3 linked regions of the Saccharomyces cerevisiae S288C genome follow. The gene in region 1 interacts genetically with each later gene. Each region holds a gene or a part of one and is shown in the gene's direction. Other genes may lie near its edges.

The links. A genetic interaction does not mean that the proteins touch.
Region 2: mutations in COG8 (region 1) and SFT2 together harm fitness more than expected from each alone (negative genetic interaction), as found in Saccharomyces cerevisiae (5 studies listed by BioGRID).
Region 3: mutations in COG8 (region 1) and RER1 together harm fitness more than expected from each alone (negative genetic interaction), as found in Saccharomyces cerevisiae (5 studies listed by BioGRID, with this or other methods).

Annotation. Positions count from the first base shown.
Region 1 is NC_001145.3:129,249-134,342, reverse strand, and holds COG8 (Golgi transport complex subunit COG8), read left to right. Parts: upstream 1-2,770; coding exon 2,771-4,594; downstream 4,595-5,094. Other genes in the region: DAK1 (dihydroxyacetone kinase), read right to left, coding at 1-868; TCB3 (Tcb3p), read left to right, coding at 4,976-5,094. UniProt on the Saccharomyces cerevisiae protein: Acts as a component of the peripheral membrane COG complex that is involved in intra-Golgi protein trafficking.
Region 2 is NC_001134.8:20,775-26,139, forward strand, and holds SFT2 (Sft2p), read left to right. Parts: upstream 1-3,323; coding exon 3,324-3,971; downstream 3,972-5,365. Other genes in the region: SEA4 (Sea4p), read right to left, coding at 1-519; RTG3 (Rtg3p), read right to left, coding at 1,302-2,762; ECM21 (Ecm21p), read right to left, coding at 4,172-5,365. UniProt on the Saccharomyces cerevisiae protein: Nonessential protein required for the fusion of transport vesicles derived from the endocytic pathway with the Golgi complex. Can be partially replaced by GOT1.
Region 3 is NC_001135.5:108,562-113,876, forward strand, and holds RER1 (protein retrieval receptor), read left to right. Parts: upstream 1-3,354; coding exon 3,355-3,921; downstream 3,922-5,315. Other genes in the region: LDB16 (Ldb16p), read left to right, coding at 1-230; PGS1 (CDP-diacylglycerol--glycerol-3-phosphate 3-phosphatidyltransferase), read left to right, coding at 544-2,109; YCL002C (uncharacterized protein), read right to left, coding at 2,247-2,996, 3,073-3,114; YCL001W-A (uncharacterized protein), read left to right, coding at 4,519-4,980; YCL001W-B (uncharacterized protein), read left to right, coding at 5,209-5,315. UniProt on the Saccharomyces cerevisiae protein: Involved in the retrieval of endoplasmic reticulum membrane proteins from the early Golgi compartment. Required for correct localization of SEC12, SEC71 and SEC63 in the endoplasmic reticulum.

The DNA of each region.
Region 1 (5,094 bases):
AATCCGTAGTTTTGGAAGTGATAGAACTAATAACAAAATTAGAAACACCGCCGAGATTGTTAACTAACAAGACAACTTCATCATCTTCATCAAACTTTACAAAAGCTCTATCCTTATCGTTTGGATCCAATAGTTTTGGTAGCATATACTTGGAGATCAAGTCTTCGGTAGAAGGAATAGGGTCTAAAACTTTCACACCAGGTTCGTTATGAATACCCATACCCAATTCCATTTGTTTTTCGTTTAATTCACTTTCGAATTTCCTGCCAGGAACTTTACAATGGTCTAAAGAAGATCCAATGGTCACCAAATTGTCGTTGATAATTTTAGCCACTTTAGCTGTACCGTCTAAGCCATACTTACTAGAATATTCTTCTGCGAAGGCACCTACAATCTTATGAACCAAAACGGTACCTGCCAATGCTCTTCTACCAACCATACCACCCTTTTCTCTGCCAACTGCAACATCATCACCTATGACAGCAACGCGGCAGTTAATACCCAAGGCTCTTGCTCTCTCAGCGGACAGACCAAAATGCAAAACATCACCTGTGTAGTTCTTCACAATCAATAAAACGCCAGACGCATTTTCATTGACTAAACGGATTGCATTTAAAATCTGTTTTGTTGAAGGGGATGCAAAAATTTCGCCAACCACGGCGCCACTCAACATACCCTTACCAATGAAACCGGCGTGTGTAGGTTCATGTCCACTACCACCACCAGAAATTAATGCGATCTTGTCGGAATCGGTCTTTCTGAAGAGAATTTTTTCTTCAGGGACCAGCGTAATGGAGGGGTTAGCAAGGGCAAACCCTTTGAGACTTGAATTGACTGGATCTGTGACTTCAAACGATTTAGCGGACATTTAAAATTTAGTCTTAGATATAGAATGTAATCTTATTCTTTGATGTGTTCGTTTACAGTTGCTACAAATAGTGACTACTTGTAGCGAAGTTGAAGTGATTTTCTCCTTATATATTTATTCATCAGTTAGTTCGACAGACGCTCGCGAGGTGGCCACTCTTTCAAAATGACGCAATTGGGAGTGGTTTGATCTTTCTCCCTTAGAAGCCAAATTGGCAAGCACTCACTCCGGGCCAGATTTACACCATGTTTGTAGCGCATTTAAATCAGGAAATGCATTATATTTCACTCTCTCGTCTAGCGAGTCTTAATGTTCATGACGGGGGAGCTTTATGCCTTGTTTTTTATCACAGCGCCAGACAATTGACAGTAACAAATAAAGGCAAAAAACCCTTGAATAGCACCAGAGGTGTTTACTGATTGCTTTTAAAGTACGTATAAAACTGTAAAATATAGATTAAATTCGACCGCCATTACTTTAGAGTTGAAATTGGGAAGCCGTATATTGCCATTTCAGCCATGCTTCTATGGTTCCTAATGGAAGCATGAATGACATACGCAATTTGATGAGCTTGAAAAGGGCGTAATTGACAAGCCAGATTTGAATCTAATCCCTTGAGAAATTATCTGCAAGTAGTAAAAAAATCTCTAAAAGATGTATAATTGAGTCGCCTAGAGACCTCATTCATCATGATATTTGACACCTTAATTTTGATAGTAGCGGGTCAGTCATTAAGAAGAAAGTGAGCTGGGGCTAATCATCAACGATCTCCCATAATTACGTACGTCAAAGACAACACGTTGGCAAAGGTAAGAAGAACGTAGTGCGTATCATGCTTACGGTGAATTTCACCCTTTTTTTCTGTTATTCGTGCTGATCCACGGGGTATTCAATTGAAGATATTATCTTTATCATCATATCGGTAAGCGTCTGGGAGAAGCAACTGGTCAAACGTTTTCAAAAACCATTCTTTAAACAACAAACCGATCAATGTTCTTGATCAGCTTATCAATCTATCCGATCTCCTGCGTTCAGCGTGACCGCCACACTTATGTCTAGATAATTTAACTTCCAGTTGCTAATTTCCCGCTAAAGTATCTTATGTTTACCATCACTGTAGCCGCCCTATCATATGCAACACTTCCATACTCATTTTCGGAATAAGAAGCAACTATCATCTAACGACTAGTATTTATATTACTGGTATATTACCATATTGGGTATAAGACGGTCAAATAAATATTGAGAAACAGTCACCAATTTTAATGGAAATTGAAATGAAAGGGTTGATAATGTGCTAGGAAAATGAACGAGAACATACAAAATGAAAGAAGAAATAATAATATTCCTACACAGAAATATCGGTTCTCTATTGTGGATTTTCATATTCTCGAGGAGAACCTCTAGTACATTTTGTGTATCTGGTATCACAGCGCTTGACAACTATAGAATTTAAACAATTATCTCATTCTTCATCCATCACTCAATCATATATATTAACCCCGGAAAAGTGCATTTTTGGTTTCTAATAACATTTGTATTAGTAATATTTGTTTACCCAACAATTCAAGAAATTTAGCTCGCGTGGCGTAATGGCAACGCGTCTGACTTCTAATCAGAAGATTATGGGTTCGACCCCCATCGTGAGTGCTTTGTTTCTTCTTTTTTGAATATGCTAATTCTAAATTTATAGGAAGAGTTGGATTTTCCTTTAGTTAGTTGTACTCTTGAAGTCCATTTTCTTTTTATACGTACATTAGATCGATCTCGCGATCATGGCTTCAATGTCTAAAAATATAGCGTAGTAACATACTGAAAAGAGAAGCACAGAAAAAATAATCATAGAAGTGTTAGGACATTTGAGGGAACATATTTCAACAATAAACATAATCATTGAGTAAAATGGAGCTGATACTAAACAGCCTCATTTCTGATGATTTAACAGAGGAACAAAAACGGTTAAGTCTTGATTTCCTACAGGATATCCTACAATCTAACACGAAAGACTATGAAAGTTATTTTTCATCTAGGGCTGTTCCTGGTAGCATAACTGAAGACATAGCAGAAATTGATGCTGAATTATCTGCCCTTGATAGAAAGATAAGGAAAACACTACTAGATAATACGTCTCAGATTATCGGAAATATTCTTGAAAACGATGATAGGGCTCAATTGGATGATATAGCCAAGTCTTTGGAGCAATTATGGGAATTGGATACTAATATTAATAAGGCAGCCGATCGAAACGTTACAAATGACGATATAAACAATGAAAGCGTTTCTATTGATGACTTTTTGGAAGACGATAAAGAAGACAACGACACAGGTCGCATCATGACGACTGAGAGTAACAATCTGGCAAGAAAGAAGAAGGAGGATGAGTTTCACAAGGCATTAAGTAGGTTAAGAAACAGAATTTCAACTAAAGAAGATGACAAGGACGACATTAGATCTGACACATTAGTCACTGTACTAGAAAATTTGGATAGCATTACGGATTTGATGGAACTACCATTTTTGGCCCGCACATGTATCAGAACAGGTCATTACCAGGAGGCCGTCATGCTATACACACACACTACTTCCCTGAGGTCAAGATTCCCTGGTTCAACCATTGTGGATGAAGTTTGCGAAAAAGTTTTAAACGAAATTAGTACTACCATGTTATCCGGGCTGGTAAAATTACTGTCTACTAATGTATCAGTAAACTCACTAAAGAAAATACTACAGTACTTGAATTCAATTCCACCATTTGATGGAAAGACTAATAAATCATTATTAAGTGTGTTTTTAGCCATGAGATACAAATTCATTACCGATGAAATAGCATCATATCCTTTGGACGTTGAGTCTTCTAATGAATCTTTAATTGAAATGATGGTTAAGAGGAAAATTGAAGTCCTCAGGGAACATGTCTACATGTCCTTGAATGTCTTTCTGAAAAGCTTCTTGTATGATACAAATGACTTAGAGATTCCTTTCCCAGAGGAACTAGAAAGTACTGTGCTAAGGATAAATGGGACTAACGAAGAGAAAGAAATTGAAGAAAAGGAGAAAGAAACAAAGAAGGAAGAATATCAAAAACAAGATAGCGTAGCGAACAATGAAGAAGATGTGACAGAAAATAAATCGATAGAAGATGTACAAGAGGAAGTACAAGGCAAAGTGGAAGGCGAAGATGATGGAGCAGAAAGGAAAACAGAAAATGAGATAGAAAATGAAACAGTAAACAAAACAGAAGACAAGGCTGAAAAAGAAAAAGAGGAAGAAGTAAATACCAAAGATAACAAGGCAGAAAAAGAGGAAGAAGAAATTAATAAGGTTGAGGTGACCCCAGAAGAGCCAAGCAAAAGCATAGATAACAAGGCAGAAAAAGAAGAAGAAGAAATTAATAAGGTTGAAGTGACCCCAGAGGAGCCAAGCAAAAAGATTCGGACTTCAAAAAGGGAAAACAAAATACCTACAAATGCAGTCATGTTGCAATTCGTTGATAAGTGCATAACATACGTATTAAAAGACCTCACTCGTGGGTTAAATAGCATCAAGCTGAGTGACTCCGTTTGCCTGCAGTTGGTGTACTGTTCATTCCGTCTTTGCGACCTGAATCGAAACTACCACCACCTCTTCCTAAAAAAAATCAATGACACTAGCTTGTTTACGACCGAGCAGCTCGCCCGGGCAATTGACAAGAGAGCAGAACTGGCCTCTAAATATATATACTCCTAGTATAATATTGGCTCACTATGTATTTTCAAAATGACGATCGTCCGAAATTTCCATTTTTTTATTTTTTTTTTTCACTTCTTCGCCAGCGCGAGAAGGGGGAGAAACAACAATACGAGAATGTATGTATACCTTTACAACACACTGCTGCAGTCAGAAAGGGAAAAAGGGATAATTGTACCTTACATCCTTTAGAATTGCACTTACCTTTTCCAATTGCGATACATTTCACTTTGATAGACAACTTTGCTTTTTAGCGTTACTTAATTTAATCAGTTTTCTTCTTAACAATATAAAGAGCATCATTAGCTAGCTTTGTTTATTGACATACGCAATATTGCTAGAAAGAAAATAAGTAGAGCTACGCATTGAAAGTCAAGAAAAATGACTGGCATCAAAGCTCAAGTCCATCCCCCACCTGATAGTACCCTATTTCATGAGGAGGAGAAGAAGAAAGTAGGAGGCAATTTACCTCAAAAGGTCATAAATCAACAAGAAAGGGG
Region 2 (5,365 bases), on another chromosome or scaffold:
ATCATGCTTATTTCTGTCAAGACCCATTGCTATAAGACCATTCGTATTTATTCCCAGAGAGTTTATACACCGCTGCTTCTTTGCTCGTACACGTATATCATAATTGGTTTCTGAAACAGGGTACCCTTGGGTATCCTTTAAATTTGAGACAGATCCAACTATATTTTCCGCCTGAGCTGCCTTACCACCGCTGGCATTTGTCATAGAAGTCTCGTTATTGGCATTTAAGCCCACTGGCGCATGGCTCGCTGGCGATGAGGAATTTTGTCCAGAGATATTAAAAATCCTTAAATATCCATTCTTTTCACCAACTCCAATCATACCAATTTCTGATTCTGAATAGTCTAAGCAGGTGATACTGCCGAAGTCTTTCACAGTGTGTAATTTAATAATTGATTCATCAGATTCATTTTCCGGATCCACTTTATAGTGGGTCACTTCATCTCTTGTAGGGTTCACTGAAAGATAATCAATCAAATTATCATATGACCAATGGGTCACTTTTTTGATGAGACCCATGTTTATTCTTCTATACGTTCGTGATACTGCACTTACGACTACCAGTAACATCAGAATAACCATAGAGCTTATGCTATCTTGAAATATATCATCGCCGTAAAGTATGATGTGTAGCGCATTAGTCTTCTGCATTCATATTATCAGTGGTATACCGTTTGGTATATGCTTTCCAATCATGAAGTGTTGGCTCTACTCTATATAAATTCGACATCCATTGATTTTCTCAATAAATGAGTTACCCAAGTAAGCTTTCCATTGATACAAGTGATCTACATTCTTGCGACGCCAAATTATAAAGCACTAAAAATCATATCATACCCAATTGCGGGCAGCACATGTATATATTATACACTACTTATAACTAACCTTCTTCATATATAACAATATGCCTGATAATACTAATGCATTTAAATCATATCATGAAAGAAAATTACATGGGTTTTATTGACATAATTGCATTTAGAATACATAAAATTCTAAAGAATTAATATATCCAAAGTATTAGACATAACCAAGAATAATAGTGAATAATTTTAGATTTTGTTACATATAATTCTGCTTGCCTATCTCTTCCACTCTTTTCAAAACGTTGCATGTAAGCGTTACTAATATTCCGCTTTATTTTGTTGCAATTCCTAATTTTTTCATTACATTATCTTGCGAGTACGGAAGCGATTAACGTTCTCCCAATAGAAGGAACAAACATAGATATTGAAGTTTTACTGCTTTTGCTTACCTGACCTTTTTCAAATTTAATTTTTTCCCGCTAATAAGACCATAAACTACCCCGAACCAAATTCTAAAAGATAGTCAGCTGGATTAGAGTTGTCATCTCCAAACATTAATTTTGCATTATCTTCGGCTTCAATCAAATCGCCTGATAAGAACTCCTTTAATTCTTCATGAATGTTTGTATGTGGATGACTCTCCATAGTGCCAGCATGATTGTGGTTACCGACCGAATCATATAACGGTGGCTCCCAATTGTGCAATTCAGCCTTACTATTTTGTTCATTCATCAAAGCATTTGGGACAGATCTAATATCTATAATTCTTTCCTCACTATTCTCGCTATTATTTTGCCCCGAACTGGCATGGTGGTTATTGGTAAAAGGAGATAATGCTGCGACAGAACTTTTCTTCTCTTCCAATTCTTTTATCTTCGCCAATAACGCCTTCTTTTTTCGTGCTTGTATTTCTAAAATTTCGGCCAGGTATTGTAAATATTCGACCGTTCTATCCAAAATGATACCCTTATTTGGTTTGATTTGTTTACCTAGGTCATCGTAATTCAATAAAGATGGTGGAACCAACTGGCCGAGTTCTTTTATCTTTTGCTTTATTAATTCTCTTCTTCTCCTTTCGACGGCATTATGAAACTCTCTTTTGCGCCTCAGTTTCTCATCAGAAGTTAACCCGCCTAAAATCTTTGGAACACTTCCAGGTCCTATATTTTCAGTCATATTGCTACTTATTGAAGTGTGTCTTGTTCTGGGTGTGTTTATGCTACCATGCCTAAAAGAAGATGAAAGGAAACTTCCTGCACGAAATGACGATGATGGTGATCTTACCTTTGGGGAATATGTGGAAGATACGGATGCTGGGCCCAAGCTTTGTGGATTATAAGAAAATGATGATGAATATGTGTTTGGTGTCATCATATCAGAATTGATGCTAGAAGATAAAGAGGAGCTCAAATCATCAGTTAAGTTATACATTGTGTCATCGGTGCCATGCTGAAATAAAAAGTCATGTGGTAACTCAGCTTTTAAGCCTTCTTGTTGCTGTAATGGAGTATTCATTGCTCTATCCACAGGTGAGTCGTAAGCCATAGAATAAGATGATCTCAAGGGACCCTGCCCTATGGAAGATATGGAATTTTGAGTGACAGGTCTACCGCCTTGGCTTGTTCTAAACATATCATCCAGGTAAGACGATTGCGATTCTGCTTCCTCATATATGGTCGAAGCTGTAGGAGTTTGTGAATTGGACCTCGCTTGACTGCCCATTAAGTTATTATTATCGTTAGAGTTGTGCGTATTGATGTATGAGAGTTTTTCATGCTGTTGGGCAGGAGTCTCACCACCTGGGTAGGCACTTCCGTGTATCTTGTAATCATCATTGTGGTGTGGAGTGGGTGTCACTAACGAAAAATCTAAAGTTTCCTGGAGGACTTTTGTCTGGTTCATTAATTCGTCCAGTAGACGTTGGTTCTCAGCCTCACTTTCGTTATTGTTCATCATTCTTCACTTATTTAAGAAGTAGGTTCGCCTGACAAAAAATAAGAGTATTCTATTAAAGGATACTTGTCAACTAAGTAATGTGAATGCAGTAATGTCGTTTTTGTTATCTTATATATGCTCACGTAAGACAGAAATTCGGATTGTGAAAAATTCCTTGATGATTCCGTGCAGCCTCTAGCCAAAATAGCAACTGCGAGTAAAAAATAATGTACTAACCTGCAGTAATATTGGAGATCCTACTGTCCGGACCGAGTAGTACAATTGTTAGTTTCTGTTGCTCATAAGAAGGCTTTTCTAATCACCATGGCTTTATTATTTCAAAAGTAACTTGCGAAGAGTCACATCCCGCGGAACGGCCCGCAATCGTGACCCGGCAAAAGGCGATTGTAATGAAGAGGGAGTATTGGTCAAGACTTGTACTATACTGAAATAGGAAGAAGATTGAATAAATTTGCATTCTAATTGCGTTCGGTAGTTTAGAGTAGGACTTAGATTACCTGTATTGTCTGCAGTTGCGTTTTTTTTTTTTGCTGGTAAAAAAAAAGAACAAGTGTGGAGAATATGAGCGAGGAACCACCTTCTGACCAGGTCAATAGTCTCCGTGACTCATTGAATCGATGGAATCAAACAAGACAGCAGAACTCGCAGGGTTTTAATGAATCTGCGAAGACATTGTTCTCAAGCTGGGCGGATTCTCTCAATACCAGGGCCCAGGATATATATCAGACGTTGCCTGTATCTAGACAGGACTTGGTGCAAGACCAGGAGCCGTCGTGGTTCCAATTGTCAAGAACGGAAAGAATGGTACTTTTTGTCTGTTTTCTTTTGGGTGCAACAGCCTGTTTCACTCTTTGTACTTTCCTTTTCCCCGTTCTAGCCGCTAAACCAAGAAAGTTTGGTTTACTATGGACAATGGGGTCCCTACTATTTGTTCTTGCGTTTGGGGTACTTATGGGACCACTCGCGTACTTAAAACATTTGACTGCAAGGGAAAGGCTGCCTTTTTCGATGTTCTTTTTCGCCACATGCTTCATGACGATTTATTTCGCAGCCTTTTCCAAGAACACGGTGCTGACTATTACATGTGCTCTTCTTGAATTAGTTGCCGTCATTTATTATGCTATTTCATATTTCCCATTCGGTGCAACAGGTTTGAGGATGTTAAGCTCTGCTGGTGTCAATTCGGCAAGAGGTGTTCTGCGCATCTGAATTATCATTCATAGTGCATATTGAATTGATTAGTTGAAGAAGAAAAATAATGTTTATGTTATAAGAAACAATAATAAAGAGATTTATAACCTAACCTAATTAAATAGCATGTAGTCAACAAAAAGGGAGTAAAACATGCAGTGGCTCTATATATATAATTATCGTAGAATAATTCAAAAAAAAATAAAAAACGAAAAAATTCATTCTTCATCACTCATCAAAGGCACTATTTCGTCATAACGCGGAGGCTCGTTACCATGAGAGAGTAGCGAATCTGCGGAGCTCGAACTTACTATTCCTTCTTGTTCTTCATCATCTTTTACATTCGCTAAAGTGTAACCCTTTTTGAAAAATTCGTTCTGTTTGTCCTTAGAGTTTTCAGTGGTAGCGTTTGGAATCCTCACAGTACCATTTGCTTGTGATAAGCCATTTGTTGGTGATGAATTGTGAGATCTATTGACGGGCGATGGAGTGCTCAATAATTTATCGAGATTATTGAATCTTGACCTGTCATTCACTGACGTTGCTCTTGCTCTAGCAACACCTTGGCCACTATTGCCCGAAACAAATGCGGAATTCGAAATACTGCCGTTCATGGCATTGGCATTTGAAATACTGTTCCGATTAACATTTGGCACACCGGCATCATCGCTGTATCCGGATGGCCCACTAACTGACGTAGTTCTTGATAAGTTCAATTGTTGAATAGATAGTAAATCAGGGTCATACGAGGCCATGATATTAGGTGATCCCATCGGTGAGACAATGGGAGAAGCTGGAACGGATATGGCTTCTTCAAAAGTTGGCGGAGGTGGACATGTGTTACCAAAAAAGTCGCTGTTCATACTTAGAGGAACCTGGTTGCCTTTGCCTTCCATTGTGGCCATATCATAAGTGGGTAACTCCATATTACCACTGTTGCACTGTTCAGACACCAGGAATATGGGCGTATCGATTAGAACCTCATAATGTCTTAATTTGGACGGACACTCAGGATCAGGTTTACTGATTCGTAGCATAATTTCCAGCTTATGTCTACAGTAAACATTACTGAAGTGTAAACTATCCAAGTACAAGCCTCTTTTCGGTGTGTTTAATCTGGTATGTGTTTTCACGGGCAAACCAGAATTGGATTTGATTATTGTTTGATGGAATTTTGGATCATAAACAGGTTTTTCATTTTCTTCATGACTTTTCGAGCCTTTATGACCGGATAAAAAGCCTATTACACTGGGACGACGGTGTGAGGGTCCATTGGCTACGGCATGTTCGGGATTGGGGATGCTCGTGTATGCATCGATACCATAAGGTGGTATTATCTTTGCGGTTCTTTTATCCAAATCTTCGTATTTGGGGAACTTCAATTTTGTTTCAATAATTATTGGTTCCGTTAT
Region 3 (5,315 bases), on another chromosome or scaffold:
CTTGCCAAACGCCTACTAACGAAAAAATTCAGCATTATAATAATGATTCATTCAACACGACCACCACAGACGATGAACCCACTGATATTTGGGATAGGTCTGACACTTACCAAAACTCATTCGTCACCAATGAAACTTTGATGTCTCTTTCTAATAGAGCTAAGCTTCGAAGAAATGCCAGTGATGCGGACATCGTTAATATAAAGATTTTACGAAGGAATTCTAGGTGATATTGCAATTACTTCTTCTCATGCACTAACAAGTGAATGATAGAAATATGTTGAGTTCCTAACTGCCTGATTTTAAATAAGTTTCATATTATAATCTTTTAGCATATATATATATATATTGATCCTCTCTCTTCTTTATTTTCTGCCAGTAACCCATGTGTGAAGAAGAAAACATAAATAAAAAAGCAGTAGCACATGGACACATTCACGCCCGAACACTCCTAAAAAGCAGCCCACACAAGAAAGTAGATATAATGTAGGACACCCAGCTTGTCCATAATTGCTAATAGCATACTCAGGATAACATATATTAATGACGACTCGTTTGCTCCAACTCACTCGTCCTCATTACAGATTATTATCCCTACCTCTCCAGAAACCCTTCAATATAAAAAGGCAGATGTCCGCTGCGAACCCTTCTCCATTTGGCAATTATTTGAACACGATCACTAAGTCCCTACAACAGAATTTACAAACATGCTTTCATTTCCAAGCAAAAGAAATCGATATAATCGAATCTCCATCTCAGTTTTACGATCTCTTGAAGACAAAAATACTTAATTCACAAAATAGAATATTCATTGCGTCTCTGTATTTAGGCAAAAGCGAGACTGAGTTGGTGGACTGCATATCCCAGGCATTGACCAAGAACCCCAAGTTGAAAGTTTCTTTTCTACTTGATGGCCTTCGAGGAACAAGAGAATTGCCTTCCGCCTGTTCCGCCACTTTATTATCGTCTTTAGTAGCCAAATATGGGTCAGAGAGAGTGGATTGCCGATTGTACAAGACGCCTGCTTATCATGGTTGGAAAAAAGTCTTGGTTCCCAAGAGATTTAATGAAGGTTTAGGCTTACAACATATGAAAATATATGGGTTTGATAACGAGGTCATTCTTTCGGGAGCCAACCTTTCGAACGACTATTTCACCAACAGACAAGATAGATACTATCTCTTTAAATCTCGAAACTTCTCCAACTATTATTTTAAATTACATCAACTCATAAGTTCCTTCAGTTATCAGATTATAAAGCCAATGGTGGATGGTAGCATCAACATCATTTGGCCAGATTCGAATCCTACTGTTGAACCGACGAAAAATAAAAGGCTGTTTTTAAGGGAAGCATCTCAATTACTAGATGGCTTTTTAAAGAGTTCTAAACAAAGCCTCCCGATTACTGCCGTGGGTCAATTCTCCACATTAGTTTACCCAATTTCTCAATTCACTCCACTTTTTCCCAAATATAATGACAAATCGACCGAAAAAAGAACAATATTGTCATTGCTTTCCACTATAACAAGCAATGCCATTTCTTGGACGTTCACTGCAGGATACTTCAATATTTTGCCAGACATCAAAGCAAAACTGCTGGCAACGCCGGTTGCTGAGGCAAATGTAATAACAGCTTCCCCCTTTGCAAACGGCTTTTACCAATCAAAGGGCGTCTCATCAAATTTACCTGGTGCTTACTTGTACCTGTCAAAAAAATTTCTACAAGATGTATGTAGGTACAGACAAGATCATGCTATTACATTAAGAGAATGGCAAAGAGGCGTAGTAAATAAGCCGAATGGTTGGTCATATCACGCAAAAGGTATTTGGCTTTCCGCTCGTGATAAAAATGATGCTAACAATTGGAAACCCTTTATCACGGTTATAGGATCTTCAAACTATACGAGAAGGGCGTATTCATTAGATTTGGAATCGAATGCTCTCATTATTACAAGAGATGAAGAGCTAAGAAAAAAAATGAAAGCAGAGTTAGATAATTTATTACAATATACAAAACCTGTAACTCTAGAAGACTTTCAATCAGACCCAGAAAGACATGTTGGCACTGGTGTAAAGATAGCTACCTCCATTTTGGGTAAAAAACTTTAGATTCTATTCTATCATAGTATGTCGCCTGTAAATATGGAAAAATAAAAGAAAAAATAGTAATAATAAATGCATTATCTAAAACTCCTTAAATTTGCAAACATCGCAAAGCCATTAAGGTAGAGAATGAGCTGACCTTGTTATAGTTTTCCTTTTGGCAACCGTGGTTTCCGTCCTACGTAAACATACTGAACTTGACAAAGTATGACCAATAAGGTGACAAATTGTATCAATTTTACCCAAAAGGGCGTTGAATTAAATGGTATCTCGTAAAACAATGCATTGGTCGGTATTACCAGTCTACCTAATAAATCGATAGATTCAGCCAAAAATGATATCAATGCAAACTTTGATGATAAACCTACTGTTGAGCATCCCATCCAGTTTATACTCATTTGAGGCACATACTTGAAACATTTAAGCAGATTTGCCATTACCCACAAATAATTTATGTGTTCCAAATAGAAAACGCCAAATTTACCTGAATTTTTCAACGGTAAATTAGAGATGGAACAGCCATATGTAAATATGCCTAATACAAGGAACACACTTATAATTATTATGGAAGTAATGGAAATGCCCTGATAAATATGTTTAGTTGACCTATAATAGTATAACTGCCTTAAAACCATCATGCAGCAACAGGAAACGCAAAAATCTTTTAGAATGAGGAAACTGGATATAGGTATACTACGGGCATCATTCAACGGATAAAAAAGTGGGAATCTTTGAGACAGTTGTTCCCTCACCAGAGATGAATAACAATAATGCAACGCGCAATACAAGTACAGACCATTACCAACAAAATCTAGCAGAAATAAATCATATGAAAGCCCGTAAATAGATCGATGAAGTTTATTATAGCGCTTTTGACATAGAATGGCGATGATCTATGTAAGAAATGGAAGTTTTCTCCCTTAGTTAGTCAAACCTTTCATGTATACTTTCTCCTTCAATTATGCATACTGATAAAAAACCTGCCAAGCCCTGCAGAACAATAACAAGCATGTGAATGATTCAATATAATTGCTTCGCAGGGCTCCTCAACCTCTCCTCTGGAAAACCTTACCTCAATGAGGTTAAAAATTGTGGGTTTTTCGTTCGCAGAGGAAAAAAAAACTTGTCAAAACACGCCTCTGCAGTAGAACACGAATTATACATAAGAAAAATAACGATACAAGAAAGGCGATTTCGATTTGGGACTAAGTGTTACACGAAAGGCATAGAGTATCAAAAAAAGGAAGCAAGATGGATTACGATAGCTCTGATACAATGAACGGTGGTTCAAGTAACCCCTTAATCACTAAGATGAATACAATGAAATTATTATATCAACACTATTTGGATAAAGTCACTCCTCACGCTAAGGAGAGGTGGGCTGTATTGGGTGGTTTGTTATGTTTGTTTATGGTTCGTATTACAATGGCCGAAGGCTGGTATGTGATTTGTTATGGTCTAGGTCTATTTTTATTGAATCAATTTTTAGCCTTTTTGACCCCAAAATTCGATATGTCCTTACAGCAAGATGAAGAAAACAACGAATTGGAAGCTGGAGAAAAATCAGAAGAATTCCGTCCATTCATCAGAAGATTACCAGAGTTCAAATTCTGGTATAACAGCATTAGAGCCACTGTCATTTCCCTCTTGTTGTCGCTATTTTCAATCTTCGATATTCCAGTATTTTGGCCCATCTTATTGATGTATTTCATATTATTGTTTTTTTTAACTATGAGAAGGCAGATTCAACATATGATAAAATATAGATATATACCCTTAGATATCGGTAAGAAGAAATATTCTCATTCTTCTAACTGATATACCCTGACTCCACATACCTATTCAACGAACACATTCGTATCTTAATTATATGTAAACAAAATTATATGATAGTTACAGAATAATTGTGATTATTTTCTCCTTCTACTCATCTTCTCTTATATTGGAAGAATACATGAAGTTATTGATTAAGCAAAATTGAAGGGAAGAGGCTCATTTTCTTCCATTTATAAATGGAGAGCTTGAGATGCCTCCAATTGATAAATTTTTGTAAAGACTTTCAAGAAACATGTCTAAAAAGAATTGACAGCTTCGAACCTTTCTGCATAATTACTAATACCAAATTAGTGAGAAATGGGGTATGTCGAGGAATAAAGGATGCAAAAGAGAGAGTAATGTCATGCAAGTTGTGAGTTTGAAATGTTCACACGTTTATAATGTCCATACTCCGTGGCGTGCATGTGTTTTAGTGTATTAGTTTTCCAAGTTATTAAAGAACTTAGTAAATTTATCATCGAACGCATTTTGATTAAGTGGCACAATAGACTTCAATGGAAAATGAAAATCATATCTGTAGCAAAAACGACAGCGAAGATAACGGTTACACAATTATCACGTTGATTCGTCAACTTAAAGATGACCTTTTTACAATTTATCAATAATAATAGACAAGAAGGACAAGGTTATATTTCAGAAAAATTATTCAAAACTAAGAAGAATGAGATGATAAGAAAAACAGTTACCAATTTAGTAGCTGTAAGATTAAAAAACTTATCCCACGAATTTGATGTAATAGAGAATTATCTGCGCTATATAGCTAGCACCAGTGAACATCTATTTACTGCTATTAAGCGCCACTTTAACAAATGTGCCAGAAAACTTTTGAAAGAAGCAATCGACTCCAAATCAAACTCAGAAACTGCTACGGTGGTTCTGCAAGAAGGATTTTCTGGCATTTGCTTATTGAAAGCGTCTTCAATTATATTAAAACTAAAATTGAAGTTTCCAAAAAAGAAAGATAGAACTGATATTAGCAAATTGTGTGACAAGAAAGAACGGATGACACAGTGGTTAGAAATTTCAATTTTGATGAACTGAGAATAATAATATTATGCTCCCCTGGATTTTATGCGAAGACACTGCTGAAAAAATTTCTGATATATGCAGAGAAGGAGCAAATAAGCCAGTTTTAAGGAACCGAGATAAGCTGTTTTCGCCCATTGTTCTAGTTCTACAAAATATCTACAGGGAATCGATGAGGTTGTAAGAAATCCTGAATACTCTATGATAGTGCATAACACTAAAAAGTTGAAAGAATCCCGTATCATGGACGATTTCCTTGAACATTTGAGCAAAGACGATAACAAAGCATGGTATGGCGCGGAAGAAACCGAGAGAGCTGCAAAATTAGATGCAATAGAAACACTACTTAT